Schizosaccharomyces pombe: one gene and its partners. The main gene of each other region encodes a partner of the protein of the gene in region 3 in a complex. Each region holds a gene or a part of one and is shown on either strand. Other genes may lie near its edges. The genes, in order: img2, mrpl15, SPOM_SPCC777.17C and mrp7.

The links.
Region 1: SPOM_SPCC777.17C (region 3) and img2 share a complex: the UniProt entries of both Schizosaccharomyces pombe proteins name them as parts of the mitochondrial large ribosomal subunit.
Region 2: SPOM_SPCC777.17C (region 3) and mrpl15 share a complex: the UniProt entries of both Schizosaccharomyces pombe proteins name them as parts of the mitochondrial large ribosomal subunit.
Region 4: SPOM_SPCC777.17C (region 3) and mrp7 share a complex: the UniProt entries of both Schizosaccharomyces pombe proteins name them as parts of the mitochondrial large ribosomal subunit.

What each region holds. Positions count from the first base shown.
Region 1 is NC_003424.3:585,029-593,031, forward strand, and holds img2 (mitochondrial 54S ribosomal protein mL49), read left to right. Parts: upstream 1-6,038; coding exon 6,039-6,218; exon of another isoform or gene 6,219-6,389; coding exon 6,390-6,527; 3' UTR 6,528-7,124; downstream 7,125-8,003. Other genes in the region: pdc202 (pyruvate decarboxylase), read left to right, coding at 569-2,284; csr102 (sec14 cytosolic factor family phosphatidylinositol transporter), read left to right, coding at 3,897-5,231; SPOM_SPAC3H8.04 (chromosome segregation protein), read left to right, coding at 7,715-8,003. UniProt on the Schizosaccharomyces pombe protein: Component of the mitochondrial ribosome (mitoribosome), a dedicated translation machinery responsible for the synthesis of mitochondrial genome-encoded proteins, including at least some of the essential transmembrane subunits of the mitochondrial respiratory chain.
Region 2 is NC_003423.3:4,360,294-4,368,242, reverse strand, and holds mrpl15 (mitochondrial 54S ribosomal protein mL57), read left to right. Parts: upstream 1-4,451; 5' UTR 4,452-4,560; coding exon 4,561-5,193; 3' UTR 5,194-5,361; downstream 5,362-7,949. Other genes in the region: arg41 (argininosuccinate lyase), read left to right, coding at 1,476-2,858; SPOM_SPBC1539.02 (uncharacterized protein), read right to left, coding at 3,067-4,227; SIN component scaffold protein Sid4, read right to left, coding at 5,401-7,268, 7,489-7,603. UniProt on the Schizosaccharomyces pombe protein: Component of the mitochondrial ribosome (mitoribosome), a dedicated translation machinery responsible for the synthesis of mitochondrial genome-encoded proteins, including at least some of the essential transmembrane subunits of the mitochondrial respiratory chain.
Region 3 is NC_003421.2:1,613,107-1,620,854, reverse strand, and holds SPOM_SPCC777.17C (mitochondrial ribosomal protein subunit L9), read left to right. Parts: upstream 1-1,796; coding exon 1,797-1,886; exon of another isoform or gene 1,887-1,935; coding exon 1,936-2,011; exon of another isoform or gene 2,012-2,141; coding exon 2,142-2,281; 3' UTR 2,282-2,709; downstream 2,710-7,748. Other genes in the region: retromer complex subunit Vps35, read right to left, coding at 1-1,299; SPOM_SPCC777.12C (ER stress response thioredoxin family membrane disulfide oxidoreductase), read left to right, coding at 2,809-3,087, 3,208-3,645; protein Gta3, read right to left, coding at 3,806-4,192; NEDD8-conjugating enzyme Ubc12, read left to right, coding at 4,737-4,827, 4,894-4,989, 5,072-5,160, 5,272-5,419, 5,667-5,776; arg1 (acetylornithine aminotransferase), read left to right, coding at 5,958-6,029, 6,278-7,531. UniProt on the Schizosaccharomyces pombe protein: Component of the mitochondrial ribosome (mitoribosome), a dedicated translation machinery responsible for the synthesis of mitochondrial genome-encoded proteins, including at least some of the essential transmembrane subunits of the mitochondrial respiratory chain.
Region 4 is NC_003423.3:2,856,440-2,864,263, forward strand, and holds mrp7 (mitochondrial 54S ribosomal protein bL27m), read right to left. Parts: upstream 6,322-7,824; 5' UTR 6,186-6,321; coding exon 5,724-6,185; 3' UTR 5,040-5,723; downstream 1-5,039. Other genes in the region: morphogenesis protein Mor2, read right to left, coding at 1-4,801; Lid2 complex histone demethylase subunit Lid2, read left to right, coding at 7,376-7,824. UniProt on the Schizosaccharomyces pombe protein: Component of the mitochondrial ribosome (mitoribosome), a dedicated translation machinery responsible for the synthesis of mitochondrial genome-encoded proteins, including at least some of the essential transmembrane subunits of the mitochondrial respiratory chain.

The DNA of each region.
Region 1 (8,003 bases), on a different chromosome or scaffold from region 3:
CATGTAAATTAATAAGCTTGAAATAAGGAATAGTCATTAAATTCAGTTTAGACATAATGTAAAAGGTATCAATTTTGTCTTTGGTATAGATACAATTAAGAATTTCGAGACGGAACGTTCGGTGATGTAGAGTTTTCATAATAATTTCTGCAGTTGCTTACACTAACCGAAGAATCGTCCAGTATAAACTGCTGACGATGCCTTAAATCAATAATTGCAAATTGCATAGTTGACGTTTTCCCGGGTGGCACATAGTGAGATTTGAGTCGAATAATGAAATAGCCTCTGACGAGTGGTTTCGTACCAAGAGTTTCAAAAAGAATAATCCACATTAACTCAATGTATCATTGATGACGGAATGTTGCTTATATAGCCAGAGTAACCCTGCTCTGAAGCATCTAAGGTTATATCTTTTTAACTTTTAGCTAGCAAACTCACTTGTTCCTTTAAGTTCAGAAAGTATCTGCTGGTTATTCAACAGATAATTATCTTGCGAAAAAGGAATACACACTCAGCATTGTAATTTGTTGAGTATATTTCACAAGCACATTAAATTGCATTATCAAACATGAGTGGGGATATTTTAGTCGGTGAATATCTATTCAAAAGGCTTGAACAATTAGGGGTCAAGTCCATTCTTGGTGTTCCAGGAGATTTCAATTTAGCTCTACTTGACTTAATTGAGAAAGTTGGAGATGAGAAATTTCGTTGGGTTGGCAATACCAATGAGTTGAATGGTGCTTATGCCGCTGATGGTTATGCTCGTGTTAATGGTCTTTCAGCCATTGTTACAACGTTCGGCGTGGGAGAGCTTTCCGCTATTAATGGAGTGGCAGGTTCTTATGCGGAGCATGTCCCAGTAGTTCATATTGTTGGAATGCCTTCCACAAAGGTGCAAGATACTGGAGCTTTGCTTCATCATACTTTAGGAGATGGAGACTTTCGCACTTTCATGGATATGTTTAAGAAAGTTTCTGCCTACAGTATAATGATCGATAACGGAAACGATGCAGCTGAAAAGATCGATGAAGCCTTGTCGATTTGTTATAAAAAGGCTAGGCCTGTTTACATTGGTATTCCTTCTGATGCTGGCTACTTCAAAGCATCTTCATCAAATCTTGGGAAAAGACTAAAGCTCGAGGAGGATACTAACGATCCAGCAGTTGAGCAAGAAGTCATCAATCATATCTCGGAAATGGTTGTCAATGCAAAGAAACCAGTGATTTTAATTGACGCTTGTGCTGTAAGACATCGTGTCGTTCCAGAAGTACATGAGCTGATTAAATTGACCCATTTCCCTACATATGTAACTCCCATGGGTAAATCTGCAATTGACGAAACTTCGCAATTTTTTGACGGCGTTTATGTTGGTTCAATTTCAGATCCTGAAGTTAAAGACAGAATTGAATCCACTGATCTGTTGCTATCCATCGGTGCTCTCAAATCAGACTTTAACACGGGTTCCTTCTCTTACCACCTCAGCCAAAAGAATGCCGTTGAGTTTCATTCAGACCACATGCGCATTCGATATGCTCTTTATCCAAATGTAGCCATGAAGTATATTCTTCGCAAACTGTTGAAAGTACTTGATGCTTCTATGTGTCATTCCAAGGCTGCTCCTACCATTGGCTACAACATCAAGCCTAAGCATGCGGAAGGATATTCTTCCAACGAGATTACTCATTGCTGGTTTTGGCCTAAATTTAGTGAATTTTTGAAGCCCCGAGATGTTTTGATCACCGAGACTGGAACTGCAAACTTTGGTGTCCTTGATTGCAGGTTTCCAAAGGATGTAACAGCCATTTCCCAGGTATTATGGGGATCTATTGGATACTCCGTTGGTGCAATGTTTGGTGCTGTTTTGGCCGTCCACGATTCTAAAGAGCCCGATCGTCGTACCATTCTTGTAGTAGGTGATGGATCCTTACAACTGACGATTACAGAGATTTCAACCTGCATTCGCCATAACCTCAAACCAATTATTTTCATAATTAACAACGACGGTTACACCATTGAGCGTTTAATTCATGGTTTGCATGCTAGCTATAACGAAATTAACACTAAATGGGGCTACCAACAGATTCCCAAGTTTTTCGGAGCTGCTGAAAACCACTTCCGCACTTACTGTGTTAAAACTCCTACTGACGTTGAAAAGTTGTTTAGCGACAAGGAGTTTGCAAATGCAGATGTCATTCAAGTAGTTGAGCTTGTAATGCCTATGTTGGATGCACCTCGTGTCCTAGTTGAGCAAGCCAAGTTGACGTCTAAGATCAATAAGCAATGAGCAAGCTATTGAGAGTGGAATTGGCAAACAAAGTTTCCTTTGATTTATATGTTTTTTATGATAAGCCCATTCAATTCATATAGTCTTTTAGTATAATGATTAGTTATTAAATTTATGTTTAAAGCAACTTTTTAGTTTAAAATTTTTCAAGTCAAGTTAGGGTGTACGTAAACAAACAATACCTTGGAAGCAATGAATGAAAAGGTAGAGTTAATCCAAACAATGTGGAAACCAGTTTCCTTGCATCTACTTACTAGTTTCGCAGAAAAATTGCTAAACTGCTTAAAAGCCAACTTTAACATTCTTATTTCTTACATAGGAGCTACCGTTCCATTCACATTGTGATATGCTAAGAATTTATTAGTTTTACAAAAATTGGGTGATTCTACTATTTAATACAGTGGTTTTGTAACGTAATGAAATTATAACGCTCGTTTATTACGATTTCCTAGGTAATGTAGCGGGTAAAGGCAATTGACTGATATTATGTATCACTCTATCACAGCAACGGACGAACGGTTTGCGTTGTTGTTTATAAATGGTTCTGCAACGCAGCTTCTGACTTTGACACTCTACACCACACCATACTTCAGCGCTCTATTCTTTCGCATAGGAAGGTAAGCTGCATTTCGTGGCGTTTGGTACCTTGAAAAAATATATTTTGGTTAATATTCGTTGGCTTTTTCTTTTAATTCTTGCTACTAATTCCAAGAATTGTGTAAGTATAGGAAGAGGCTGTGTTGATCGGTTAGTTTCGTAATTTCGGCATACTAGTGATTCCTAAAATACCGACTACTAATAATTATAAAGCTTAGATCACTTCTTTGGCTAAAGTAATTAAACCAGGAAGTCTTAAAATTCCGCTTTTTAGCATCCTAAAAATTTCCCCGTCATTTCTCAAAAGTGTTAAACGCGTGAATGTTCTCAAAGCTCTGTTTTCTTTTCTTTGCTTTTTGAACGGCTTTGTCTTTGCATTAATTTTTGTGACGCGTTTTGTGCCTCCAATAGGTAATTAATCTAAATCCGTTTAAAAAGTTGTAGGTGACTTTTTATTTTATTACGTTTTGCTTTCATAAAAAAATCCATTTCCTTCTGTGCGTTGCATATTCATTAATATATCACTTTGATATACATTAAGGTGAATTAGAAATTATTGAGCTCCTCTCCCTTTGTTATTATTTCACGCTTTTTCTCAGGCCCACTTATAGTCCTCTGAGGAATTTTTTATCTTTTTTTTTAAAATACCAACTCAGTTTTTGTCGAGTGATTCTTCTTTTTTATTCATTCATTCGGTTAACTAAGTTCCCTATATTATTTTGTTTTCTACTACAAGCATTACGTTTTGTTTTTCAGTGAGCTTGTTTCGCATCTCTGACCAAAAGGAAGCAAATTGACGGCTAGTGTATTTTTGACTCGTCACATTCTTTTGTCTATCTTTGCCAATTTTTCAAATTATTATATATCTTCGAGATTAACCTCCATTCTTTAGGCTTATTCTCGTAATTTCCTTCTCAATTGAGTTCAATTTTATTAATATTGATTTCATCTGATATATTTTTTCCTTGGACTTTTTCTAGATTATATTTGTTTGCGCGCAATTTACTTATTAAATATGCCTGAAGGAGCCGGTAGACCGTGGAATCTCACAGAACTTGAAGAAGAGAAGTTGAAGACTATGTGGAGTTATTTGTTTAAGCTCTTCGGCATTACTTTACTCGAAAGAACTGAATCTTGGTACACAGTGAAGACACACTTATCTGATGATTCAAGTAGTTCCTCATCACATCGTTTAAGCAGCGTCTCATATGCGAAATCCCGTACACGACTTGAACTAACGTCTTCATCTCATGGCTCGGACACTCGCAGTTTTAATGATAAAACCAAAAATGTGCATTTGGAAAGAGTTGAAAAAATTGCAAGTGAATGGGACCCGGAAGGGCTTAGAGTTTGCTTTTGGGATGCTGTTAATTGTGATGATCCTGATGGCCTTCTACTTCGTTTCCTTCGTGCTCGAAAATGGAACGTTGAGGCTGCGTTGGAAATGTTCATGAAAACCGTTCACTGGAGAAGTAGAGAGATGAATGTTGGTGAAATTGTATGTAACGCTGACCACCTTGATAAAGATGATGATTTTGTGCGTCAACTAAGAATCGGAAAGTGTTTTATATTCGGTGAAGATAAACACAATCGTCCAGTTTGTTATATTCGCGCACGTCTTCATAAAGTTGGTGATGTCTCACCCGAATCGGTTGAGCGACTCACAGTTTGGGTCATGGAAACTGCTCGTTTAATTCTCAAACCTCCTATTGAAACTGCTACTGTTGTTTTTGATATGACTGATTTCAGTATGTCCAATATGGACTATGGGCCATTGAAATTCATGATCAAGTGTTTTGAAGCACACTATCCCGAATGTCTGGGTGAATGTATTGTACACAAAGCGCCTTGGCTTTTCCAAGGCGTTTGGTCCATCATCAAATCTTGGCTTGATCCAGTGGTTGTCTCAAAGGTTAAATTCACTCGTAATTATCGTGATTTGCAACAATATATAAATCCTGACAATATTTTAAAAGAATTCGGTGGGCCTAATCCATGGAGATATACATATCCAGAACCCTGTCAAAACGAAGCAGAAGCTCTGAAGAATGTTGAAGCTCGTAAGAGTCTTAGAGCAAAAAAGGATGCAATTGCTAAACAGTACGAGGAAGTTACAATGGATTGGATTTTGAACAATGGTGACATGGCAGAAGTGAAACAAAAACGTCGTAAGTTAGCTTCACAACTTATTGATGCATACTGGAACTTGGATAAATACATCCGCGCACGCTCAGTTTACGACCGCATGGGCCTAATTGCTCCTCAAACTTCCCATACTTTGCTTCTTTCTCAACCTACAAATGGAGATGTCAAAGAATCAATGGTAGAAGTTACTAGCTCGGCAACTTAGTCGGTCGTAACTTTCAATATTCCTGCTATTTTACATTGTAATCCTTCCCCTTGCCTATACTCCCGTATACTGACTAATTGTACTTTCCCGTGTTATTCTAAATAAGATGCTGGCTCAAAATATGATTGTATCATCTATTAATGCATAACTTTCAAGATCTTTTATATCAATTAGTTACATATGAAATCTCTTTCCTACGTTGATTTTTACACCCCTTTTCGTTTTACCATTTCCTTATCGCTTTAATTTTTTAGCACTCTCTTTAATGCACTTAAAATCATCTAGAAAGGGATAACTTTTTTTAGGTCTTATGGCTTTTCATTGAAGTTGTTGGTCGCAATACTTATCCATCCATTTTGTCTTTATTAGAATCAATGATCAGTTTTATTTGCAAATTAACTTAGATTTCTTGCTATTTATTATTATTTTTTATTTTATTGTAGGAAAGCGGTTCGAAATTAAAAAAAACAACAAGCTGAACACCTAAATGCCTACTCCAAAATATAGTATTAATTTAATGAGTATGCACCTTCGCTGAAGTATATTCCGTGCCGTAAAAATACTTTCGAGTTTAAACACGCGTGAGGTTCAAGCACCGATTAAATTTATTTAAAACAAGAGCGTTTTATTTTATTTTAATTGTTCTTAGTGAATCACTTAATCTTAGGCTCCTGTTTGACAGTTGTTTAAAACTTACAAATTTTTGGAGGTTATGATAGAAATCCTCTTTATTCGCGAATGCACGACGACTTCTTTTACACATCCACCATAAATTCCTGCAACTCGTAGAAAGTTTTGTTGAACCAAATGCGATCATCCTTAAAGCCAGTGCTATCAAATTTGAGGTTCAACTCAACAATTGCATCCGAATCACTTCGGTTTCATGTTTCACGTACACCTTCAAAAAATCTCCCAGTCTATCTAGACTACAAACAACGAGGAACGAAAATTCTGACTTTAATTCGTAAAATCCATGGTGATTCTAATGTAAGTATACATATTCCGTCAGCAGTAATCTCTTGGCTAAAGAAAGTACAAGTAAAGTCACTATGCTGCGGAAATTGTTCTATCAACTTTTTGCTTTAACGGCCAACCCAAGTTTATTTTAACTTCTTTTATTCGTTCTCTTTTTTTTTTCTAACAATATTTTATCAATAGGCTTTGCGGCTCAGGCTCATTTCCACACTTAAAATGTCACCGAAAGATGTTTATGTAAACAAGTTAACAAATCAAGTTGTCCTAAAGGGAAATCACATAGTCACAGTTCGTGAATGGTTACAAGACCAAGGTTTTTAAGTTCCTAGAATTTTTCCTTTTTTAGATTGTTACTATGTATGTACGTATCCTTCTTTCAAAGGAATGATAAAGTTGCTTTTTATCAACATAAAACTCTCGAGCATATATATCAATTTGGCTTTTTAGCATATTACTTTTACTTCATCTCCTTGTTACAGCGGTGATAATGTCAAATAAAACACAGCTGTTGCAAATAATTAATCTCGATTCATTTCTTCTCATCATACGTGGTTTTCAAACTTGACAATGGAAAAAATGCATCTTTTGTGATGGTTTTCCTTAACTACCTTTAAATAAATAGTTATTCGAGCTTCAGTAGAAACATTCAAGAGGTACTTGCGTAAAAAGAAATTCAAACATCTGCTTAATGTGAGGCGTCCAAATGCTAAATACAATCTTTTTTTTGCTACCTATTCGTTTGTTTTGTTGAATTTATAAACGCTTAAAGGAAATTATAATATATATATCGAAACTCCGGTGTTTTTATTTTTTGACTGTAGTTATAGACAGAATACGTTTAAGGCTATTAGGGTATATAACTAAATTAAAAATTCTTTTCTCAATATTGTATAGTTTGTAAATTGACAAATATTAAATGCTATATCGAAAACATACCTTCAAACATAATCTATATATCTGCGTCATACGCCCATGGACTGTTCTTTACCTTTCCCTTCACACATACTTATAATCCTGAAATCTCAACGACTTTTTCATTATTTTTGAATTGAACTTGGATTTGTCTGTGATAGGAATATTTTGACAAACATTTTTAGCTTTTAAAATTTTTGCTTTGTTCTGAAGACGTTGATTTACAATTTGCTTATGAATTAATTATTCACGAGAAGAAAATTCCTTGTAGTTTATCCCTTTTTTATTGGTGATTATAAGCTGAATAACTCTTAATGTTGGGAATTATATTTTCTTTAGTGAACTGAGGCTTTCTCGAAAAATACTTACGGTTATCCATGATTTAATGATTTTCTGTTTTTTTTGTTATTTTTTTTTCGTTTATCAAAAAGTGGTTAAGCATTGACACGATATAAGGCACTTTATTTCCGTGTTGAATTTTTTGTTTTGTTTTTTCTTGACATTAATACCTTACTTTCCTTGAATGCGAACAAACCGCATTCATTTGTATTCGATTATCGAAAGCCTTTTATTCCTTTTCTTTTTCTTTTTTATTAATGCCAGCTTGTTATTGTGCGACATCAACGTCTCTTGAAAATAATGAATTGCTATACAAAAATATTCGAAACTTGTTCTCTACTAGCAGGAGTTTTCCAATCGAACAAGAATGGATGAATTTGAAATCGATAAGTCAGATGAAAGACTTTTTTTCAAACTTTCCTGGTAATAGTAAGGCGAACAACCACTTTCTCTGTAATTCTCCATTGAAATTCGAAATTTTTAACAATGAGAAATCTGTTAAACCTTCAAATGGGCCTCATCTGTTCACGAGATGTTCATGTCGTT
Region 2 (7,949 bases), on a different chromosome or scaffold from region 3:
AAACCTATGGAACTTCTGTGAAATACGCTAGTACACGTTTTGACTAGAATTCTTTTAGCAGGAATATAAGCGCTTAAAAAAGGATTTACGCCTTTGAGTAGCATTCAAGCTATTACAATTAAATAGATTTAAATAGGGGCTACACTCTTTAGTTTTCTAAAATCCAATTGTTTAAGTCTAGCAGACACTCCAGAAAGCTAACATAATTCATTTACGACCCTTGATAACAATGTACAAGAAGCTCTGACTAAAATTTTTCAAAGTGAAATGCTAAAGTACGATGTTGTTTGTTACGCTATCTGTTCTATGTTTTACATGGAAACAATAAATGGATTAATTCTTGCACATTTACTAGTGGACAATAAATGGTTCAGATTCAACATTACTATATCACACTTGTATTGCTCGGCAACCTTCAATAACTTCTATTTAAAAATAACTAGCAAGATCTAAACTGGCTCTAGAGTATTCTCGAAGATAACACTTTGTGGATTCCGTTTTGAGTCCAGACGTTCTGTTAACAACATATCCATACGTAAATTGTTAAGTTATTTGTTGGCGAAGACGAGTACTATAAACGAATTTTGAGAAGCTTGGTATAAGTAAATGTTAGACTGTCGAAGTAATACGCCCTATATGTGTTCATGCCAAAAGAAATCAATAATATAGTTGACAATTTGAAATGCAGTGTATAATTTAAGGCAGTAAGAGACGAAAGTAAAGAGGGAAAAGGAAAATCATGTACTGTTATCACTTTATTCTTCGTTGATTTTCTTCTTCTTTATAATCCCACTATATTTGGTGGATTCATAAACTCGGTTGGTCCATGTTTATTTTAATTGATTTTCGTTAGCTATCTTAAAAGAAATTGGGCGGAAGATGCATCATAATGTTTAAACCAGTTTAGTCTGATCAGACACTAGTAAAAACGAGAAAACAATACTTATCTACCAATGAGTTTTCAGGCATCTATAAATATCGTTCTAATAAAAATCGAAAAAACAATCACAACTAACAAGAAAATCTTTTAAGAATTCTCAATCTTTATAACAGTCAATTTTCTTAAATCTAAGCTAATGCTCGCGAAATTCTTTGGTAGCTCTGAGTTAATAAATCAGAAAGACAAAACAAATCATTCAGGTTGAGTACATTTATACAGTAAGATTCCAACCAAAGCTTCCATATATGATATCTTTTGTAAACTTAAGGAAAGAAATAACGAAGCGGAATGTAAACATTTATTAAGTGTTTATACGTTCCAATACGTTAGATCTTATTATAGCGATTATAATATCAATTTCATATCTATCGCCGTATCGTTAATGTGATATAACAATAGGTTGCGATAAGGAAGAGGTTACACGGTCATATAGCCATACTCTCAAAAGATTAGATAAATTAAATTTTAAGTAGTACTACCTCCTTTTTGCGTTGGTTGAAAACTTGAAAAACTGACTCTGTTTTAACAATTCTGAATGGCTTCTTCACAAAAACTTTGGGGCGGTAGATTTACTGGCGCCACTGATCCCTTGATGACAGCTTATAATGAGTCTATTCATTATGACAAGCGCATGTTCAATGCCGACATTGATGGCTCGAAAGCTTATGCTAAGGCATTAGAACAACGCGGAATCATTAGTGCTGATGAATTGGATAAAATGTTAGATGGTTTAGAGGCTGTCCGAGATGAATGGAAGACAAATAAATTCACTCTTCAACCTTCTGACGAAGATATCCATACTGCTAACGAGCGCAGATTGGGAGAAATAATTGGTACAGGCATTGCTGGTAAGCTTCATACAGGAAGAAGTCGCAACGATCAAGTTACGACCGATATGCGCCTTTGGCTACGTGATGAGTTGGACATCATCCAAAAATCTTTAGTTGGGTTACTCCAAGTTTTTGTTGCTCGTGCAGAGTCTGACCTTGATATCATTATGCCCGGTTACACTCATTTGCAAAGAGCCCAGCCTATTCGCTGGTCCCATTTCTTATTGTCTCATGCCTTTTCTATATTAAATGACTTGGATCGCTTGAAACAAATTTATTCTAGAGTCAACCGACTCCCTTTAGGCGCTGGTGCACTTGCTGGTAATCCTTTCGCCGTAGATCGTAAGTTCTTACAAAAGGAACTTGGTTTTGAAGGGGTTATTATGAATTCAATGAATGCTGTAGCTGACCGCGATTATGTTATTGAATTTATGTTCTGGGCTAGTATGGTAATGACCCATATTTCCCGTTTGGCAGAGGATCTTATTATATATTCTACTTCTGAGTTCAACTTCGTTACCCTTTCCGATGCTTATTCAACTGGAAGTAGTATTATGCCTCAAAAAAAAAATCCCGATTCTTTAGAACTTCTTCGTGGAAAGTCTGGCCGAGTTTTTGGCAACATGATGGGCTTTATGGTTTCGGTTAAAGGGATTCCTTCAACATATAACAAAGACCTCCAAGAAGATAAAGAACCGCTTTTCGATTCTTCCAAAACTGTTTTGGATTCCATTCAAATTCTAACCGGAGTTCTTTCTACTTTAACTGTAAATCCAGAAAATATTGCTAAGAGCTTGACTGCGGACATGCTAGCGACTGATTTGGCAGAATACCTTGTGCGTAAAGGTGTTCCCTTTCGTGAAACTCATCATATTTCCGGGTCCGCTGTCCGAATGGCCGAGGAAAGAAACACTACCATTGATAAGCTAAGTGTTGAAGATTTTAAATCGCTACACCCATTATATGAAGAAGATGTTGCAGATGTTTTCAACTATGAATCCAGTGTGGAGAAGCGTTGTGCGATTGGTGGTACCGCTAAGAGTTGTGTATTAGAACAAATCCAAACCATTAAAAAGGCCTTGGAGTAGATAAGTTTACATGAAATGATATGGATATACTTACTTTTTCTATATGTTCGTTTGATCATTTAACAGGGCTTCCTCAACATAATTCCCCGAATCGAGGTTTTTTGGTGTAAAACGGGCAAATAAATAATTGTAGCCTCATAATAATATTTTAAAAACACGTAACTTAAATCTTAAATCGTAAATATTCATACTGAATGAAGTAGTACTTTTAACCTTTCGTCTTTCTCCTTTTAACATTATCATCATCGTCAGATTCCCCTAACTCGTGAATATCTGCTGTATCGTCTTTTGATAATACAAGCCCGAAACCTGCATCAACAATTTGTCCGTCTTTTCCTTTCTTTCGCTCTTCTTCTTCTTTGCGTTCCTGAACTTTGGCAAGTCGATGAATTTGAGACATAAAATTCGTAGGTTTAAGATCGCTATATTGATTTGTATCAAAGACTTTCTTATGATAAGGCGCATCCAATTCATGATGACCTTTAAGCTGAAAAGCATCCTTCGCCTTCAACTCAGCAGGCTCTTTATCATTTTCATGAAAAGGATCATATTCTCCAACCTCCTCGAAAATATCGAGCTTCAAATCAACTGGTGGAAGTGGTATATCATGCTTAACAAAGCTTTTCCCTAAGCTATTAGCGTTCACGTTTAATTTCTCGGTTCTATGTTCATTTTCTAAACGTTCATTATCATTTTTTAACTTTTTTTCCTTCTTCACAAGCCGTTTTAGGATTTCACCATTTTCATCAAGCAAATATTTAACTTTTTTTCCATTTTCCAAAATTTTACGATATTTCGGTTGTCCATTAGGATAAAGAGGTATCTTCTTTTTTTCTTCTAGAATAGAAACAGATTCAGGATGTGATGACTCCTCAGCAACTTTCTCTAAAAGCTTGTCTGCTTCTTCGTCAACTTCTTTCTCACTCGAAGAAAGCAGAGAATCATCCAAGGCTAGCTCATTAGAGCGAACTTTTTCAAGCAATTTTCGATCAAGACCACGCACGAGATGAGTTGTATTCAAATCTCCGCCTAATTCTTTAGATTTTTCTGAATATTCTTTTGTCGTAATTTGGCCATTGCGAAGTTTCTCGTGCAATTTGTGCAACTCAATATCCTGTTTGGAAGAAGGCTCTTCATAAAATTGAGTATCTTTCCCTGAATTTTTTGCATTAGAATGTCTCGTAATGTCTGACGATGTAGAATGACTTAGTTGTTTTCTTTTAATTAGGGCTCTGGGTGCTTCCAATTTGGCCGTCTTATGTTTACGACCAAAAACAAGTCGCTGACTTTTATTCGATGAGAAATTTTTTAACTGGGAGGTTTCGGCTTTTGGAGTAGCTAAAAGCTTTCTGAAATCATCTTGGTTCATTGTGACAAATTTTCAACCAAAACTTCAGTATCCTTTCAATTAATTGTTTCTTTGGAATAACTTTGTAGTAGTTGTTTATATACACTTAACAGTAAAACACAAAATAAATTGTAAATTATTGAAACAGTTTGATAACATTAGCATACCTTGACGTTCGTACACTGTGATCTCAAGCGTAGTGCGCTATTTTACTACTTCGTAATCGGCCAATGTTTTTTAAAAACAACCTATATTCTAGTTGCAGAAAACAGATATCTTTTCTTTCGAAAAGTTGATTTTCCATACAAGGGTTTGAGGAACTTGAAGCTCTTTCTAAGATTTTATGCCATCCGTATGTTAACAAGACATTGTAATCGTTTAGGACTTCAAATTGAAAATAAATTTGTGTTCAGATCATCATCATGGAATTGTGTCCGTCGAATTGGGAAAATTGCGTGTAATGAAAATAAGTACAGATATGAAATGACATCTACAGAAGAAGACATTGACAGCTTTTTCAGTCGTGTTTTTGGTGAAAAAAATTACATCTCAGACAAATCTCTAAGAGAACAAATTGTAACTCATAAATCTTATAAACATGGGCTGAAAAGATATAATGAACCTTTCGTTTCGGTTGGAAATGCAGTTATCGATGTTTGCTTACTTAATCATTATTTGGAATCAGGAAACTTTAGCACAATACCTTCATACAAGGATTTAGTAAATCTTCGTTCCCCTGCTCGACTCGCTGAAGTTGCAAAAAAATGGAATCCTGAAACTGCCACACAATGTATTTTGCCATTAAAAGGGCCTAATTCTCCATCTTCGTCTAGTTTTGAAAAGATATACAGTAGTATTGTTTCCGGACTTGTTGCTGTCGTTTACTTCCAAAAAGGCGGAGTTGAGGCTATGAATTTTTGTAAGAAAAGCATCATATCAGATTTGACAAAAGATTTCGTGAGACCTAATACCGTGCATAATCAATAAGATGTGTAGCAGCAGGATAAAATTCTTTATGCAAAGGATGCCATAATATAGTACATTTTGCCATACGCTTATTATTACTATCGATTTATTTAACGCCTCTTTCATTCAGTCAGTAGTTAATAATATATTTCATATTTATCAACATTTGTATAATATAAGCTGCATCCCAAAATCTTATTGATCGAGTTGTAAGTCATTGGCATCCATTCACAAACTACGTTTTTTAAGCTCCCTTATCTTTTTCAGCATATCTGCTAAACACTGTTTTGAAACCAAACCGTCACGCATATTCTCCTCGTATATTAGATAATGGATATTTCGTGCCCATTGGTAGAGTCTACGACCTTGTTGCAGCTGGCGTCTGACTTGTCCGATGGTAGAAGGAAAAATTGCAAAAGGGATATTTAATTGGACCAAAACTGTTTTCAACATGTTGGCTGTTTCAACACTACACTGTTGATCTATATGCTGAAGGCCTAGCCGATAATAAAGTTGTTTTTCCTTAGCCAGATTAAATCTAGAATCAGGCATATTTAAGGAAGTAAGAGGCTGTGAGGTATGGAAAGTAGGGATGGTAGATGAAGCAGGTGTTGAGTAGCTTTTGTTCTTTTCGATCATTAACTCACTTTCATCTGACAATTTTGCATCAAGATTATTGGTATTAATAACATTTCTTATATCATTTTTTGCAGGGGCTGTAGACCCGTCATTCAGCATAGTATTCTCCTTATTATTTCCTTTGTCAGTAGTCTTTGTGGTTATTGCATTTTTTGAGCTTTCATTTGATTCTTGATCTCCATTTTGAGAAGTATGCCGAAGAATTTGTATCTCTTTACGGGCTTGGGTAAGTTCCTTACGCAAGTGCTCAAATTGCAAAAGAATAGCATCAAGTGTTGATAGCTGAACTCGTATTTCACTTGGAACCGCAATTTGAGATTTTTCATTATACCTTCCGTTGCCTTTAAGGTTAAAATCATTGCTAATAGTAGCAGATCGTACCTGCTTCGTATCAGGTTTTTGCTCTTTAAAGTCTTTTGTGCTTTTAGGGAATCGTTTTGGAGGACAAAGTGGAGTAGAAACAGTTGTTGACATTGTTGTGGGACAATAATCCTGCTGATTCATAAGCAATTGCTTGGTTATATTTTCAATCTGTTTATCTCTTTGTTGGCATTGATTTGATAAGGATTGTATTGTGGCATTCATCTCCAAAACAATATTAACAAAAGAAGGAGGTAAATCGGTAATGGCTTGTTTAAAAGGATCGATGTCTTGATCATTCGACGACATCTGTTTATTATTAGAAAGATTTTCCTGAGCCTTTTGACAATCCGTAGATTGGATAGGTTGACTAATAGAAGAAACACATGTAGATGAAGTAAGAGGATAGCCAGAAGGCGGTACTGGATATGACTCTGGTACAGTTTCCAAATGAACATTCCGATTTTGAAGCTCCGGCTGTGAGAAATGTTGTTGTGGATAACCTGAACTCAAAGAAAAATTAGGCTCAGGATTATATTGATTAGGGCGAGTGACTGGGGGTGGTACGTTACGGCTTGGTGGAACCTGTAAACTTTTTTTAGTCTCTTTAGATTGCTGATTAAACACTTCAGGGTCCAATCCATCTTGTTGATTAGGAACACTAATATTATCTCGTAGCTGTCCTTTTGGACTTTGGTCATAAGAGCTGGTGTGTGATTGAGAAGGTGGAAATGAAGGTGAATTGGAGTGCATATGACGAGCACTAGGTGAATCAATCACTTTCGGGGCGACATTCTTGTAAGGTGTACTAGTATAAGATGCTTTCTCCGAGTTAAACGAAGGCTCATGATGTCTTTGAGCATTTTGACTATTATCACCAAGTTGATGACGCGGATCCAGAAATAAGTTGTTTGAACCTGGTATTTGCTCTAAAGGAAGTCTTGTAGAGTCATTGGGGTTCGAAATTTCTTTTTTGGTGTTTTCTTTAATCGTAGTACTATTTACGCCATTAACAAGCTCACTTATTTGTTCATCGTTAAGTCCATCCAACAATTCAGCTATTCGATCAATTCTAGCGGTACGAGACGGATCTGCATCTACATAATATTAGTTACATTTTCAGTTGACAGACTTTTCGAAAAAGTATATGGACGTTACAGGTGAATACCCTTCAAGCCAAAATGTATGTCATAAACCAATTTCCCTCTTAAAATAGAAAACATTTAGTTCATCTACAGATGGAAGAAGACGGCATGAGTGTAATTACCCAGTGTTTTCAAAAGTTCACAATACAAGTTGACATTAAACTTTACCTACCTTCGTCAAGGGAGTCAAAGTATATACTGTCACCCGCAGATGGATGACTATCAAAATGAGAATGACCTAACCATCGGTAATCTGTACTCAAACTATCACCAAAAGCCTCATCCATTCTAAAACATGATTAAAAGGTTTAGTTTGTGAGTAGCTGACTTAAAACTAATATTGTTACCCAAGAGTGTAAGTCACATGCTCGAAATGTAAATAAACACCAGATAATAACAAAAAGTTGTTAACTAATTATGAGTATATAAATCATTCAAATGTATCATTAATTCTTGTAAATAAAAAGTTTTTCTATTAGAGTTACTAGAAAAAATGAATGAATTTGAAAAAGTGTAAAGGCAGACATAGCCCAAATCCGAACTTCTTGAAAGTAATGATTCTAAAGCCATTATATTTTCTAGTACTTAAACTTTAGTTTAATTTTATATTTATTGGAATTATTTTTTTTTCTA
Region 3 (7,748 bases):
TTTTTGTAATGGACGTTCATGAAGAGCGCTTCGTAAGGAGGGCTGGTTAATGATATGTTCGTTAATGTATTGAAAAACACGATCTGCATACTGGGGTTTATAAGGGTAACACCGCAAGAAAAAATTGAGGATGCTAGAAAGTATAGAAACAATACAATCTAGTGGAAGACCACTACGAGATTGAATAACTTCAACAACATGTGACCATAAAACCTCTTGAATAGCATATTCTGGAGGAATTACTTTATCTCCAGGGCATTCTTGCTCGTCTTTTTGCTGTACTTCCTCATTAATTTTTATGTCTCCTAATTTTTCGGTTACAGTCTCAGATTCATCTTCATTAGAAGAATCAGATTCATATTCACGTTGGACATAGTCCGTAAGGCGATTCAACATAGCGACCACAAGTTGGGTTACGTTTACGCTTGGAGAAAGCTTTATGACCGTACCGAAATATGTATCGAGGGTTTGAAGATGCATATTATCAGAAAACGCCTGACAAATTACTTCAACAAGATACTCTTGTGCAAGTGAGTCCCGACATTCAATAATTTGCTCGATTATGGCAGGAAGGACATGATCTCGGTAAGTGTCTATATCGAGGTTTAACTGAGATAATCGAACCAAATTCAGCCCAACAAGAACCTTTAGCTCATTCCTTTCTTGGGTACGTTTGGAAAATTCTTTAATTGGACCAAGATGTTGGATTCTAACCCACAATTTATTCATTTCCGTAAAGTTGATAACTAAAAATTTAACAGAATCGAGTACGGTTCCTTTGCGAGATGCATCTTCCTCATCTTCTGATCCCAAAGGTAATCCTTTTCTTGTTTGGGTAAGCAGATAATGGCGCAAAAAAAGACCTCTTAACGGATGCTGAACACCTCTACACATATCTAACAAATCATTCATAATTTCACGTACAAGGGCATTAGGCGTTTCCAAATAAGCGCTTCCAACGGTTATCATGAGATATAAACGAGGGACAATACTACCGGCATATTGAACAAGTTCATAAAGGTCCATTAGGTTGTGAGTACCGTTCAGATGCGTTTCCAGCAATGTGCCCCCAAGTAAACGCAAGCTTTCCATATTAAACATATACAGCTCATAGTATTGTTTTGGAGTAAGTGCAGAATTTCTCATTTCCACGAGACTAATACTGCAATTACGAAATGCATCCATCAATCGTCCTGTCTGCAAGTTTCTTTGCATCAGCCTACTAGACTGCTTGCAAATATTTAAGGACTCTTCCAAGCTCCTTGTAATTTCTTCGTTAGCAGTATTAATTCCGTTCATAGAGCCCTAAATATCCACTTCCAAGTGTTTCAATTTAACCAACGTAATTGTAATTTCAGTATAGTTTTACTAGCGGCCCAACTTTCGAACAGAAAAACAGGATGTTTGTTATTCTTTTTAATTCACTAATATTAGCAATGTTTTTTATAATGGGTTCGTTGAAATGTCTACAAATAAAGTTGGTGGTACTGGTTGAGATATATTGGTAGATCTTGAAGTATTGCGCGCAGCACAGCTTGGAATCGCGCTTCGCTCAATTTCAAATTGACCATTTTCATATCACAAATATCGCGCCTAAATAGTATATTATTTTGATAACAATTAAAAGAAACTATAAATCTAATCATCGGAAAGGTTCACACTACAAGATTCGTCTTAGACCTCTAAACTAACGGTTTTTGAATTCTACATTCAATTGAGAATTTATTTAAGCTGCTTTTCTTTTTATTTTGTAAAAACTTTCTTGACGGATTTCTTGGTGCACCCATTTAATTGAAATGAGTATTATGAAACCGACAACTCGATTTTTTCGCTTCAATTCCCTTGAACTAGCAGTCTCACCTTTTCAAAGAATTTATGGGCAACTGGTATGTCAAGCTTATAAAAAAAATCACCGTTACTTACACAGTTATTTAGAGGTTTCTTCGTAAACAGCCAAAACCGTTTTTGGTAAAACTGTTAAACAACGAAGTTTCAAAGCTAGGAAGGCAAGGTATGCTAAATTTTTCATAATTATAATGTTCTTCATTTCAAACCTATAATAGGGAGGTAGTGGTTACATCCTTTTATTATAAGAAATGCATTCTTTTAGCCGTCGTAGGAAACTACTAACTTTACAAAAGGTGATGTCGTCTCAGTGACAAGGGGATATTATCGAAATACACTTTTCCCCAAGAAGCAAGCGATTGCTGTTGATGCCTTAAAATCTATGAAAGCACATTTGTTACAAGGGTCCGAATTCTCGACGAAAACGAAGGAATAATAATACCTAAACTCTCACTTAGTTCAATCAACATAAAAAGAATTTATTGAGTTTATTAGTGGATTAATTAAGGCTTAGCTAGCTGCAATTTGAACAATTCTAGCTTTTCATTACGAGATATTGTTACATTACTAACAAGAATTACGAAGTATTCAGCATTGACTTTTTTCTATAAAAAAATATAAAAAATTTAATTAAAAGGCTTCACTAGAAGCGTAGTCTCTTTCTGAGTTTGAATATTATCGTTATTGTAATATTTTATCAGGGTTGATGCTTAGTGTTTCTCAATTACAATAACAAGCTTTGGATTTTCCTATAATAGTATAGTTAATATGAAATTTAAATCCTTGAATGGTAAACGTTTACTGCGTATTGTGCGGCCATCGTTTCTGCTCTATCAGCTCGTCTAGCATCTTCTTCTCACAGCTACCAACTATTTTGAGTTGGATCCAAAATCATCTCATAACTCGTGTTTATTATTGCTAAAGCAGCAGAGAAAATATTTTTCATTACCTTATTCAGCTTCAATGAAAATTAATTTGTTTTTTGTGTTTCTATTTGAACTTCTGCATTTCGTGGCAGCTTATAGTTGTGAAGGAGATGAATCAGCTGCCATTGAAGCTATGAATGTCTTACAGGTACCGTATGAAAAATACAACACAGACCCAGTTTGCGCTTTTGACAATTCCACCGTTGTCGAACTTTCAGATAAAACCTGGGATCATGTCATTGAATCTGGCAAATGGTTTGTGCAGTTGACTGCTGAAGGCTGTGCTAACTGTACTCTTGGAGAGCTACTTTTTAACGTAAGTAATGGACTGCATTTAATGTTGTCCAAATGCTCTTGTTATGAGATTGAATTTTGAGCCTCGGAAATAAATTAAACCATCTTTGGATTTAATTGAATCTGTACTAACTAATTTTAGGACCTTTCGCATGCTTTTCATGAAAAATATCCGGATGTCCACTTTGCCCGTGTTTACTTGAGCAGTAGCCTCGAACTTTCTGTACGCTTACTCATTTCTCGGATTCCTTCTTATTATTTCATCGATAATCAAAATTTCTACCGTGTTTCTCCTCAGGTTCTTCCCAAGAACAAGGCAATCGCCTTATATGAAAAAGACGGGTTCAAAAGTATGAAAAAAGAGCAAGGTTTTTTCTCTGTTAACGGGCCCTTGAAGTCCTTTTACTGGGTCTTTGGAAAGGCACTTGCACTTTACGGACACTTAAGTCAAAAATACACCCCTCTTGGAATGAATGTAGCTATTTTTGGGATCTCTGCCTACATAATGTATCGCTCTAGCAAAAAAGCGAAACAAAAACAAGCCGCTGCTGCTGCCGCCGCCGCTGCAAAAAAGAAATAAGCTATGTGGAAAATACTATTAGTTTTTGATAATATCAATTTTTTGAATAATTATACGAGAGTTTGTTACATGTTCTATATGTAAGGCACCGCTCTAGTAAAGGTTTATACCCTATTTGTTTCATTCCTTCCTTTTTTAACAGAACGTAGATTTTCCAACCTTATTGCTTGTTTGGAGATTCATTAGAGGAATCATCTTTTAGCTTAGAATAAACGGCAAAGTACTGCCCGTCTCTTTTCTTAGCATTCTGAAATACATTCCACGGCTCTTGATCGGGTAATGATGGTAGAGATTCCGCATTAATAGCATGATTCAAAGTACGAAATGGTTCCTTAATGAAGGATGTATCAAGTCTCTCAATTGCATGCATTTGAATGATTCCTTCGTTGAGTTTTAGAATTGTTCTTTCATTCTCTTCCTTAGAGTCTGCTTCACGAAGACCAACGAGCCTCAGCAAATGACCATACTCAGTTAAGCCAATTGGTTTGGGTGGATTTCCTTGGAGAATTCGTTTAAGTGAAACCTTTGAAGGTTTCAAAAATGGCATAGTGAAAAGGAAAATAGAGCTAATTACAAGAGAAAAATATAGTACAGGTTAAAAAAAAGATTCAATCTTAAACACTTTGTAAGTTTTTCAAATGCTTTGAAACAGCTGTCGAAGTTGTAGTCGGTTCCTACAATTTAACGACTAGGTTGTAAGTCTGGGTTTTTTTAGAATTAATAGTAAAGGAATATATTAAATCATTCGGTAAGTAAAGTCAATATAATCAGCTTCTCTAATTAGGAGAACTATTTTTCATTACTATGATAACCGTTTCCCATTCCCTAAATTTACGACATCCTGCGATGTCTGTATATAACTTTACATAGCAGTGTTCCAGTACGTAATATTGTTGAATGCTTGCGTAGAGTAACGACTTTATTAAAATTGGTTATTGCAATTGAATAAGGTAATATAAAATGCCACATTATTAGCACTTTAGGTGTCTACATGTTTCGCTATTTTTTAATGATGTATGAGAGTATTGTTTATACCCAAAATTGTAAGCGCATTTTCCATCCTTCTGCCTATTACAAGAATCGCGTAAATCATGAGAAAAATTTGGGAATTAAAAAAGAAAGAAGCTCAAAAAGAGAAAAATGCGTCAGGGATTAGTCCAGCACAAATCCGAATCCAAAAAGGTGCGACTCATCATGTTGATAACTTTTCGCGATTTACTCGAAACTAACCATTTTCGATGAATTTAGACGTTACAGATTTAGAAATCCCATCTACGATGTCTACAAGCTGGCCAGATCCTATAAAATTGAACGTGCTACATTTAGAAATCCGGCCTGACGAAGGTAAGTTTGTGATTCCGCATGAAAGAATATTTGGTGTAGACTTTTTGAGACTATTATTTTTTATTTTGATTAACATGAAAAGGGTATTACAAGGGTGGGAAATTTAAATTTCGAATCCAAATCGACGATAATTATCCTCATGATCCTCCTAAGGTTAAATGTCTAAACAAAGTATGTCAGTCATGCTCTAAATTAGAGTTGCAGCTTATGGTATATTTTTTGCATTTAAGAAAATAACCATTATAACATGTTTTGAACCCTTTCGTTCTGACCTACTGTTAGATCTATCACCCAAATATCGATATTGAGGGAAACGTATGCCTCAATATTCTGCGTCAGGATTGGAATCCAGTGTTGAATTTGAATTCTATTTTGGTTGGATTGCAATTTTTATTCTTGTCACCAAACGCAGAAGATCCACTCAACAAAGGTAGGTTAATTACAATTTTTTGGGGGGCAATGAACTATTTCTTGTTATTGCATTACAAGGAAATGATTATTCATCTCTTAACTATCATTTGATACTCATTTTTTCTACGATCCTTTATTATGGGATTTATAAGGTTCTTTACTGAGGACAATGATTATGATAAGCAATTTTAATATAAGAAATCTGGTTTGCTCCTTAACAAATTTTCTAGATTTATTTAACTATACTAACAAACGATATCTTTTAGAGGCGGCGGCTGATTTGCATAAAGACCCTCAAGGATTTGCATCTCGTGTGCGTACAGCCATGAAAGGTGGTCTTGTGAATGGAATTTCTTTTGACAATGTCATGGCTTAATTTTTCATCAATCTAAATCAATTCGATAAAGATAACCGACATAGATTAGACGACTGTCATGAAAATATTGATGTGTTTTAAATCTCGCTAAATCAGTCACGATTACGATGAACTTCCGATATCAGTATAAAAACACATAACCAGAACCAAACCCCCCTAATAAGCCCGTAACTGCTTTACAATGTTTCAAAGACGATCACTTCTCTCTGTTCGTTCGTCTGGTTCCCAAATCGCCTTTCGTCGATTTGTCAGCGTAAGTACAAGTTTGTTGATAGAGTATGCATTGTAAGTGCAACTGAACATACGATGGCAAATAATTAGACTATCATCTAATTCTGATTGTTTTCGAGAATTCTGTACTTTGCTCTTGTTTTTAGACAAGTATTGATGTTGAGAATGCTTCTTACTGACCCAACAAAATAAATCTTCATTTGTGCTTTCATACTGCCTCATACAGTACTAATTTTAATATTTCTTAAACTGCTTATTAACCAAGTTTAGCTTACCCACAAAGATCCAACTCCTGATACAACCAGTTGCAATATTATCAAGAAGGAAGGGGCGAATATTATATCAGTTTATGCACGCTATCCAGTCGTAGCTGCTAAAGGTGAGGGCTCCTATTTGTTTGACAAGGAAGGTCGTAAATACATTGACTTCACCTCTGGCGTAGCTGTTACATCTTTGGGTCATGCTCATCCTGAAGTTGCTAGACTTGCCGCTGATCAATGCTCCAAATTAGTCCATAGTAGCAACCTTTTCTACAACGAGCCTGCCATTGAGCTATCTAATGTCATTAATAATTCTTTGGCAAAAAATAGCGGTATTGCTGGCCCCACAAAAATTTTCTTTGCCAATTGTGGTACTGAGGCCAATGAGACAGCCTTGAAGTTCGCTCGTAAGGCAGCGTTTGAGAAGTATGGAGAAGGGAAGAGTCAAATTGTTTACTTTAATAACTCTTTCCACGGCCGTTCTTTGGGATCTCTTAGTATCACTGCGAACCCCAAATATAAACGTGGTTTCCAACCATTACTTCCTGATGTCGTCCAAGCCGTCTATAATGACCCTGCATCCATAGAGCAATTTGTCAATGACAAAACTGCGGCTGTTATTGTCGAGCCCGTTCAAGGTGAAGGTGGTATTTGTCCTGCCAAGCCTGAATTTTTGATTGCTTTGCGCAAGGCCTGTGATAAGGTTGGTGCTTCTTTAATCTATGATGAAATTCAATGCGGACTTGGTCGCAGCGGTGATCTTTGGGCCCATAGTATCGTTAAGGATGTCGCTAGTCCCGATATTATCACAGTTGCCAAACCTTTGGCTAATGGTCTACCTATCGGCGCCACCATTGTCTCCAGTAAGATCGCTGCTGAAATTCACCCTGGTGAACATGGCAGTACTTTCGGAGGTAATCCTGTTGCTTGCCGTGTAGGCACATTCTGTGTTAATGAATTAGGGTCATCCAAGATTCTACAAAACGTTAGAAAGCAACACAAGGCTCTTACTTCACGTTTTGATGACTTTGTTGCCAAATACCCTAATCTTATTCGTGGATATGCTGGTCGTGGTCTTCTTCTTGGTTTGCAATTTACCGAGCCCCCTGCTAAATTTATTGAGCTTGCTCGTCAACAAGGTCTTTTACTCTTACCAGGTGGAAACAACAACACCCGTGTCCTTCCTAGTTTGAATGTTAAAGATGAGGTTATTGCTAAGGGTTTGGATATCATGGAGAGCACTTTGAAGGCTTTAAGTAAGTAAAAGTGTATGTTTTCGTAGACTTGGTCATTGAATGGATTGGTTATATAGTGCGATAAAAAGTGATTATTACGAGAAATCTTGTTCCTCGAAAACATATATTAACCTTGCTCTCATTTGCCAACCAAAAAATTTTTTGATAGGGGGGTTACGAAAAGCTTAGCTGGAAGCTTTACATTGTAAATACTGGTTTTCGTTATTCCCTTTCTTTTCATAATCA
Region 4 (7,824 bases), on a different chromosome or scaffold from region 3:
GAAGCAAAGAACGAAACAACTGGAATGAATTACAAGCCAAACGTCGAGAAGGACAAGTCGTAGCCCACGATAAAGCAACCTCACCCCATATTTGTTTAAGCTCAGGATATGATGAACTCAATAACTCAATTGTCTTCAAAATCATGTTATGATATTTAACCAAATCATCCTCCTTCTTGGTTTTACCACGAAGGCCCGTTATTAGTGAGCTTTCTACATTGAAATCAAAATAAGCGTCGTCATAATCTAACCTTCCTTCCATAGCTAGAACTTTTCGTACAACATACTGAAAAATCTGCTGGCATTGCTCTTGGACTATGCGAGAATAATGATCAAATTGTATAAAAGCAGCATGGAGTATTGTAGCCACATCATCAGTAACTGTGATTATAGAAGGATTTGGAAGAATATCCATCAATAATAGTAAAGATAACTGGCACGGGGAGTAGGAAATATGATTTTTTTCACTGGGAAACAAATCCTCTAAATTTGCAACATAAGTTGAAGATAAATCCTCAAGACTAAATTTATAAACCTCTTGGTTTTCATTCGATACATTAGCAGGACAAACAAAAGACAGAAGGGTAGAGTAAAGATCAGAAAGAAGTTCTGTTTTCGCGAGATAAATAGTAATCTGTCTTGTACAGTCAACAAAAGAAAAAGTTTTCCTTTGGTAACACTGTTGCATTAAAAAAAATAAGATTACGGTCCAGTTCGACTTGTGACGCGAAAGAGCTAACGAGGTCCATAAAGCCTCAATTTCGTTAGGTAAATCATTAGTAAACTTTGCAGTGACTTCAATCAAATCAATTAGAATTACCGCCGTAAAAGAATCGAAAGTTTTGTTTTCAACATCCATCTTTAGCTCCAAATTTTGTAGCCACGGAAGTAAAACCGTCACCAGTCCACGTCTATGTTGATGACCATAATTGAAATAACGTAAACATTCTGAAGTTAAAGTGAATGAATCTTCAGTAAAATCGCTAGCAAGCTGTACAGAAAATAAGTATTGAGGTTTCAAGTATAAAGCGGGGTTGCTTGATTCCAAGAATGTTTTAAATTCCATCAATGCAGTCATAGTAAAATTATTTAGATGAAAATTTCCAAGTAACTCAAATGCTTTTAGCCTTACCGAAAGATTATTCGTGGAAAGGTTTACCAAACACAAGGGCAAAAGCTTTGGTTTACTCAAATTGTTTGGATTTATTTGAATAAGCATTTCAGAAAGCGACAAGAAATAGTAATTAGAAATAGTCTGCGAAATCTCTTTAGAAAAGCAACGGTTGATTACCTTCTGCAGCAATACTTCATTGCTGCTATTCTCTAATAATAAGGCGGTCAGGCCTTTTCTAGCCAGCCCCACTATAGCCTTGGAGGGAGAACCAAAGACAGCAGTAAACCAATTAAGCAGTATCTCTATGTCGAACAAAAACACTCCTTCAGTTAATTCCTGTTGTAGCTTTGCTGTACATAACGCGATCATTGCCTTAATAGCCAAATACTCGAGGTTTTGCTTTCCAGCTTCAAATGAAGCTAACAACTTATCACGCTCACGAATATCTTTATTGTTACCGCGTATATGAGCTCTCATTAGCTCTTCGCGATTTTTTGTAATTGCACGAGCAGGACCAAATCCAGTCCATTCATCCAATAATTTCCAACACGAAGCACGTCCCGAAAAAGGAAGAACCTCAGACGACGGATGCAAATTCTGAACCAGTAATACTTTCTCAAGTAATTGAGAAAAGTAGCACCTTAATTTCAAATACTTCTCATCTGCTTGGACATTAGGAGTACTCAAAAATCCCTTTAAATCTTTCAAAAATTCAGATATAACAGACAACGCTTCACGGTCTTCATTTAATAACTCATGCAATAAGAGATGTGATGTCATTGCAAAAATGTGAGCTATTTCAGATCGCAATAACAAATCAGGTTTATTACGGCGCTTCACAGAAGGGAAGTTTAAGCCTGCAAAAATAAACTCTTGATGATCCTGTTTGAGCACAGATATATACGGCTTCAAAGAACGTACTAATTGTGGAAAGGCGTTTACGTTTATACAGCCAATAGCAAAAACAACAGCTTCACGTATAGGAGAAAATTCAGTAAAAATGAGAGGCAATACCATACTAAAAAGACTTTCTGCGCTAGTTATCTTTATGGTTTCCTGTAAACCACGTAAATGGTTTCCAGATTGAACAGCAGTAAGTGTCCTCCTAAGGTCAGTGTGCGAATAATCCACGTTAGAAGTGTATGTAATTGTACAACATGCAACAATAAGGTACAGCTTCCACTGAACTAATAAAAACTCAGGAAAATTATCATTTTTTACAGCAGACTTCAAGTTAAAGTTTAATTCCGAAGATTCAATACGCGATAATAATTGCATAGTAATACTCGGAAGTTTCTCACAAACAGTATTTCTAAGCAATGCCATAGTGGTAGGAAATCTTTCAAAACAAACCTTTATAAAGCGAGGAAATACATTGTACCATATTGAAATGTCAACGCCGCTGTTTGACGTAGCTAGTTTCAAAAGCATATCCTTGGTTCCATCGTTGATAAACTTGCGCAATCGTGACCTTTCAGCAGCAGTCGGTAAGTGACTTTCGACACTCAAAATTGAAGAATCGCAATCTTTCAGAACATCGACAATTGTCGGTTCAGAATATATGTCACCAACTTCAACTTTATCTGAAGAAAGCATCAAATACTCCGTATTTAATTGCTTAACATCATTAAGCAAAGCCACTGCAAACTTACGGATTCCAACTGATGGTGAAGATAAATGAAGTACACCAAGTGATTGAATTTCTTCAATTATCGTCCAACTTTGAATGTCATCATAATCTTGTTTTACAGAGGCAGGAGTATTGCTTTCAGAACTTGCACACGATTTATTACTAAGGACAGAATTCCTTTTTTCAATAACTGCTTCTTGCTGACTGATCCAAATTCTAATAACTTCATGGTAAGTTCGTAACAAGTACTCTGAACCCTTAACCAATTTCCGAGAAAGACAAGATATCACTGACTTCGACATTTTAAGCCCAGAAGAAAAGTATATCAAAGAGTTATGACAAACAGTATGGATTATTTTGTTTGAACAATTCAAACACTTAACATATGCATCAATTACACGTTGTTCTAATTTTCCCATGAGACAAGGAAACACTTTGAGTGCATTAATGTACAAAGCAAGCAAACTGGTTGCATTTTTTGAATCAAGGTAACAGTTGGTATTAGTGGAGAGCTGAAAAACGAGGAATAGAAGCTTTTGCGAAAGATTATGAACAAATTGTTGTAATGGAGTTCCGACGGCAACTTCATGTAAATCAACGAACTCAAATTCAATATATTCGAATATAGTACTATCCGATTTTTTGTACTTCATGTCGTGCAGAATGTAATAAACAGACCGAACAACAATCATTAATTTCTCAGGGCCAATATTCTCGGTAAAAGCATCAGTAGACAAAGGTGTTAAAATCTCTTTGATGACAAGCTCTGGAAAATGAGCACCGACTACACGCACAATTTGTGCATAACCATCCAATTCTTCTAAAGTGGCGAATGGAACCACGCTAAACTTTTTGCCAATCGAAAATCCCGATTTCAAAATATTAGAAATATTAGAATTCATTATGGAAGGTTCTTCCTTATACTGATTAGAGTAAGTCCATACAACACGAGAAAGATGGGGTAGACCGGTGTTCCTTAATCGTCTGTCTTTAACACGAAAAAAAGCAGCATCAAGGGAGGATATCCAATGCTTAAGGAAGAACTGTTTGGGAGAAAGACATAGAAGTGTACAACAAAAAGGGAAAAAAACATTCCAGTATTTAGTTTTCGTACACATTTTCAGTACTACAGGATATATTGTTTCAATGGTGCGCGACCACGCAGGAATATTCACCTCAAATGTAGCTCGACTGATTAATGGTCGAAGCAACTGTTCCATAAGATATGCATATTCGATTTTCAAGGCTGTGTTGGCTTTCATGAAAAAGGAAGTCAATGATTGCAAAAAAGCAATTGACTCTTCTAAAAGAGTTGTTGGATAAAGCTGCAAACGCAAATAACGCATTGCTCTAAGGAGATGGACAAGAACCGTTTCTTTTTGCCTGGAATCACAGCCAGACTTTTCCAAATGCTCAATCTCTTCAATAAAACGATCTGATACCATGACGAAGTTAAATCGAGACATACTTCCCACAAGGAATGCAAAACTTTCCCAATTAGCAAGACTGAAATAGGATGACGAAACTGGTAAATTTTTAGCGCTTAGTAGCTGATGAAAAACGCATTCTAATAAACAAGATACAGTGCTTTCTTCTAAGGCATTTGACGGTATCGTTTCAGCAATCTCAGTCAAGACACGGCAAAGTATATAGATAGAAATAGAACTCCTCCGCTCATTAACAACCCGAGGAGTACCACTTGAACTTGTAATATCAACACGAACTTTTCTCCAACACAATAGGGATTCAATGACGGCAACCGGTTTGCTACTAGCTAAAGCTACAAGAGCTTGAATACATCTGTCAAATTCATTATCTTCCCCCTTTTTAAGAAGGAGGATAGCTTCTTGCTCTCCAACGTTGAATCGTACAGGTTCAGCATTCTTACCTTCGTTGGCATGATAACGAGAAAGAAATGATATTTTTTGTTCAGAGAGTCGAACAAACTGGGTGAAAAGTATGTGAAGCGCGTAATCAACTGCCGTATGGTCCTGCTTCTCAGAATACAAAGGACCATTTTCGACAGGTTGATCGTGAGCAATTTCATTCAAGCTCATTCAGGTTGGCATTATATGGTTATCTACTAAATAGACGAACTTCAAAGAAAAGGAGTATGCAAAGTAAGGGTTTGAGAGCAATACCGCTAGCCTACAGAAAAGTGAAGAAAAAAGTGTATAAAAAAGCTATCTCGTTAGTTTTTATATTTAAGCATGCGTAAGCAAATTGACTAGCAATCGATTGTTAAAATTTAGGCGTGAATGGATTCAAAACTAGAAGTTTGTAATGGCTAGCACTCCGAACAATAAAACCTCTCAGCACACTGCAACAATTTTTGCACATAAAGGAATATAACGCACTGCGTTGTAGTAGGTGTGGTACTATATAGTAGGTGATATACTTAAAAGTCTAACTTCAAAATGCCCAAAATAATTTTTAAATGAAATGTAAAAAAAGAATAACCTTCTGTATGTTTGGTCAAAACTTTCTGAATTCTATGTCAGAAAAGATAATATGGTACAAGTTCAGTTTTTTTTAATGATTTTTAAACCGTGGCAAATGCGATTTTTACACGCTAACTTTTTGGAAACGAATTATAAATATTTGTTGAAAAAACTTGAAAGTTTAAGAACAACATATACAATGCTTAATTATCAAATTATTCGCGTGGAAAAAAATAGAAGCATAAATCAGTAGAAAAAGAAAGACATATACGCAAACTTGTATACGCCCAAGACAAAGTAACAAAATAAGTTATAAATTTAATCATGCATTCACATTTTTGAGCATTAGACAGTAATAAACTACGATGACCGTGACGGGAGTTTAAATAAATAATAAAAAGAAGAAAATGTTATTTCGTGCAACCTTAAGTTGAAGGAAATCCAAAGGCATTGATGCATGTAATTATTAGTATATCCTTTTGAAGTATCTCTAAATAGTGAGCATTGCAGGTATGATGATGAGAGTTTCCGCATGGTTTCATGAAACTTGAGCAGAATTAGCAGAAGTTATATACTTATTGACACGGCGAATTGTAGGTTCATCTTTGGGCCTTGGTAACGTTGTCTCTTTGTCAAAAACAACACCGACGTATTTCCTCCGTTTGCGAAGAGACACATCCATTTGAAAAAACTTAACATATCCGGAAACAAGAGAATATATTGTGTGATCTTTACCTAGACCGGTATTATCTCCGGGATGAAATTTTGTACCACGTTGTCGAATTAGGATCTCACCAGCCCTAACGAATTGGTTTTCAGACCTTTTTATGCCGAGACGACGACCAGCAGAATCACCTGTGTTTTTCGATGAACCACCGCCATGTTTAGTAGAAGTACGAATAGGAGGGAAAGTGAGAATATTTGATGCTTTCTTATAAGCTAAACTAGCTTTAAGTAATTGAAAATTGTTAACACGAATAAAAAGCCCTTGATTGATCATTGCACGGTGAACTTTGCATCAAATGAAGTACGTATTGTAAAAGAAAAATGTGTTAAACTGATTTGGCAAATAATTAGTAATGTAGAAGGATACTAAATATTAAAAAAATTATATCTTCGTCGAAATATTGGTTTATACTAAAAGGATGGATTCGTTGTAACCAATCTTCGAAAGTTTCTACCTTACATTTCCTTTATCCCAATTTACGAGTCGTGGTAATCGTATAAAATATTCTTATTTTACAATAGTGTAGCCTTACATTTTCTGTTTGAAATTCCTTACTCCTAATATCTCGCTAAAAGAGTACCATTACCTACAATTTACTTTGTTTATATTGGAAGCATGATCGCTAATGAAAAAAAAAGTAAAAGACACTAAATTTACGTCGACAATTTCTATCCTTCTTTTTAATCATGGAAAATTCACTTGGCTCTTCAATTCAAACAGCATTAATGACTGCATGAAAGAAATATAACTTTTTCAAAGTTTTAGCCTTTATTGTATTGTCTTTATTACTCAATGATATTCAATTTTACTTGAACTTTTAAAGTATGCAGCTGGAATCACATATAATAGATTTTTCTGTGCTACTAATTGATGTCTTAATGCAATTTCAACTGTTTTGTTCCTCAAAGCAAAAATTTATGAATAAAAACGGATGTGCTTCGTGTTACTAGTTGGTGGCAGGAACCAGCAAATTTCATTTTCTTGTGAAGAAACCATAAATTCTACCTTGACAGCGATATGCTTCAAGTTATACAGTATATGTGCTGCCTTAGTTCGCAGGATAATGTATCAGGATATTGTCAAGCTTTAACTGGATTTGATTATACTCGGAAACTTCCTTAGGTTAAAAACTTTTAAAATTGGCATAAAATCTTTTTCTCGTGGATCTTCCAGCCATAGCACGACAGGGAGTACTAATTAAAGTACGTTTTGCTTAGCTGTACCTACGTTAATGTCGATCTGAAGCTTTAAGCTACTACTTCCACCTAATACTGTCGTGTCGATCCCATAACGGTGTGTTATCGACGATAAATACATCAATGTACGCGTTTTTTATTTTATGTAATTTATTAGAATATTTTTTAAAAGTTGTAAAATTTTTTGGTATATATTTTTAAAACAGGGTGGTGTTGCATTTCTAAATATTTCTCCATGTATATTGATTATGCACTTTTCCGTTTTCCATGATATGCCAGCTTTTGTGGCACGAACATAATTCTATGGGATCAGGAAGAGAGAAGAAAATAAGAAAGCTAGGAGATAACTTTTCATTACCATATCTGAAATTTGATTGTGACCATAATGACAAAAATTATCGCGCGTCAAATAGGCCATTTGGACTTTCAACTGGACTGTCAGTGCAGTTGAATGCTTCGAACATGACTGATCCCTTTAAATTTTTGTTAGATAATTGGCATACAATTTTCAAAAATGGAGCAATTAAGCTTCTGCCACCTGAGGGATGGCAAATACCTGTTGTTCTTGATCAAGGCGCTTTTGAGTTTCAGTCAAAACGCCAATGTTTAAATAAAGGTTGTCTCAATTATGAAAAAAATTATGATTATTTTAAGAAACTTAAAGCATTTCATGAAAGTCGCGGTTTATATTTTTATCACCCACCGATTATCGGGAA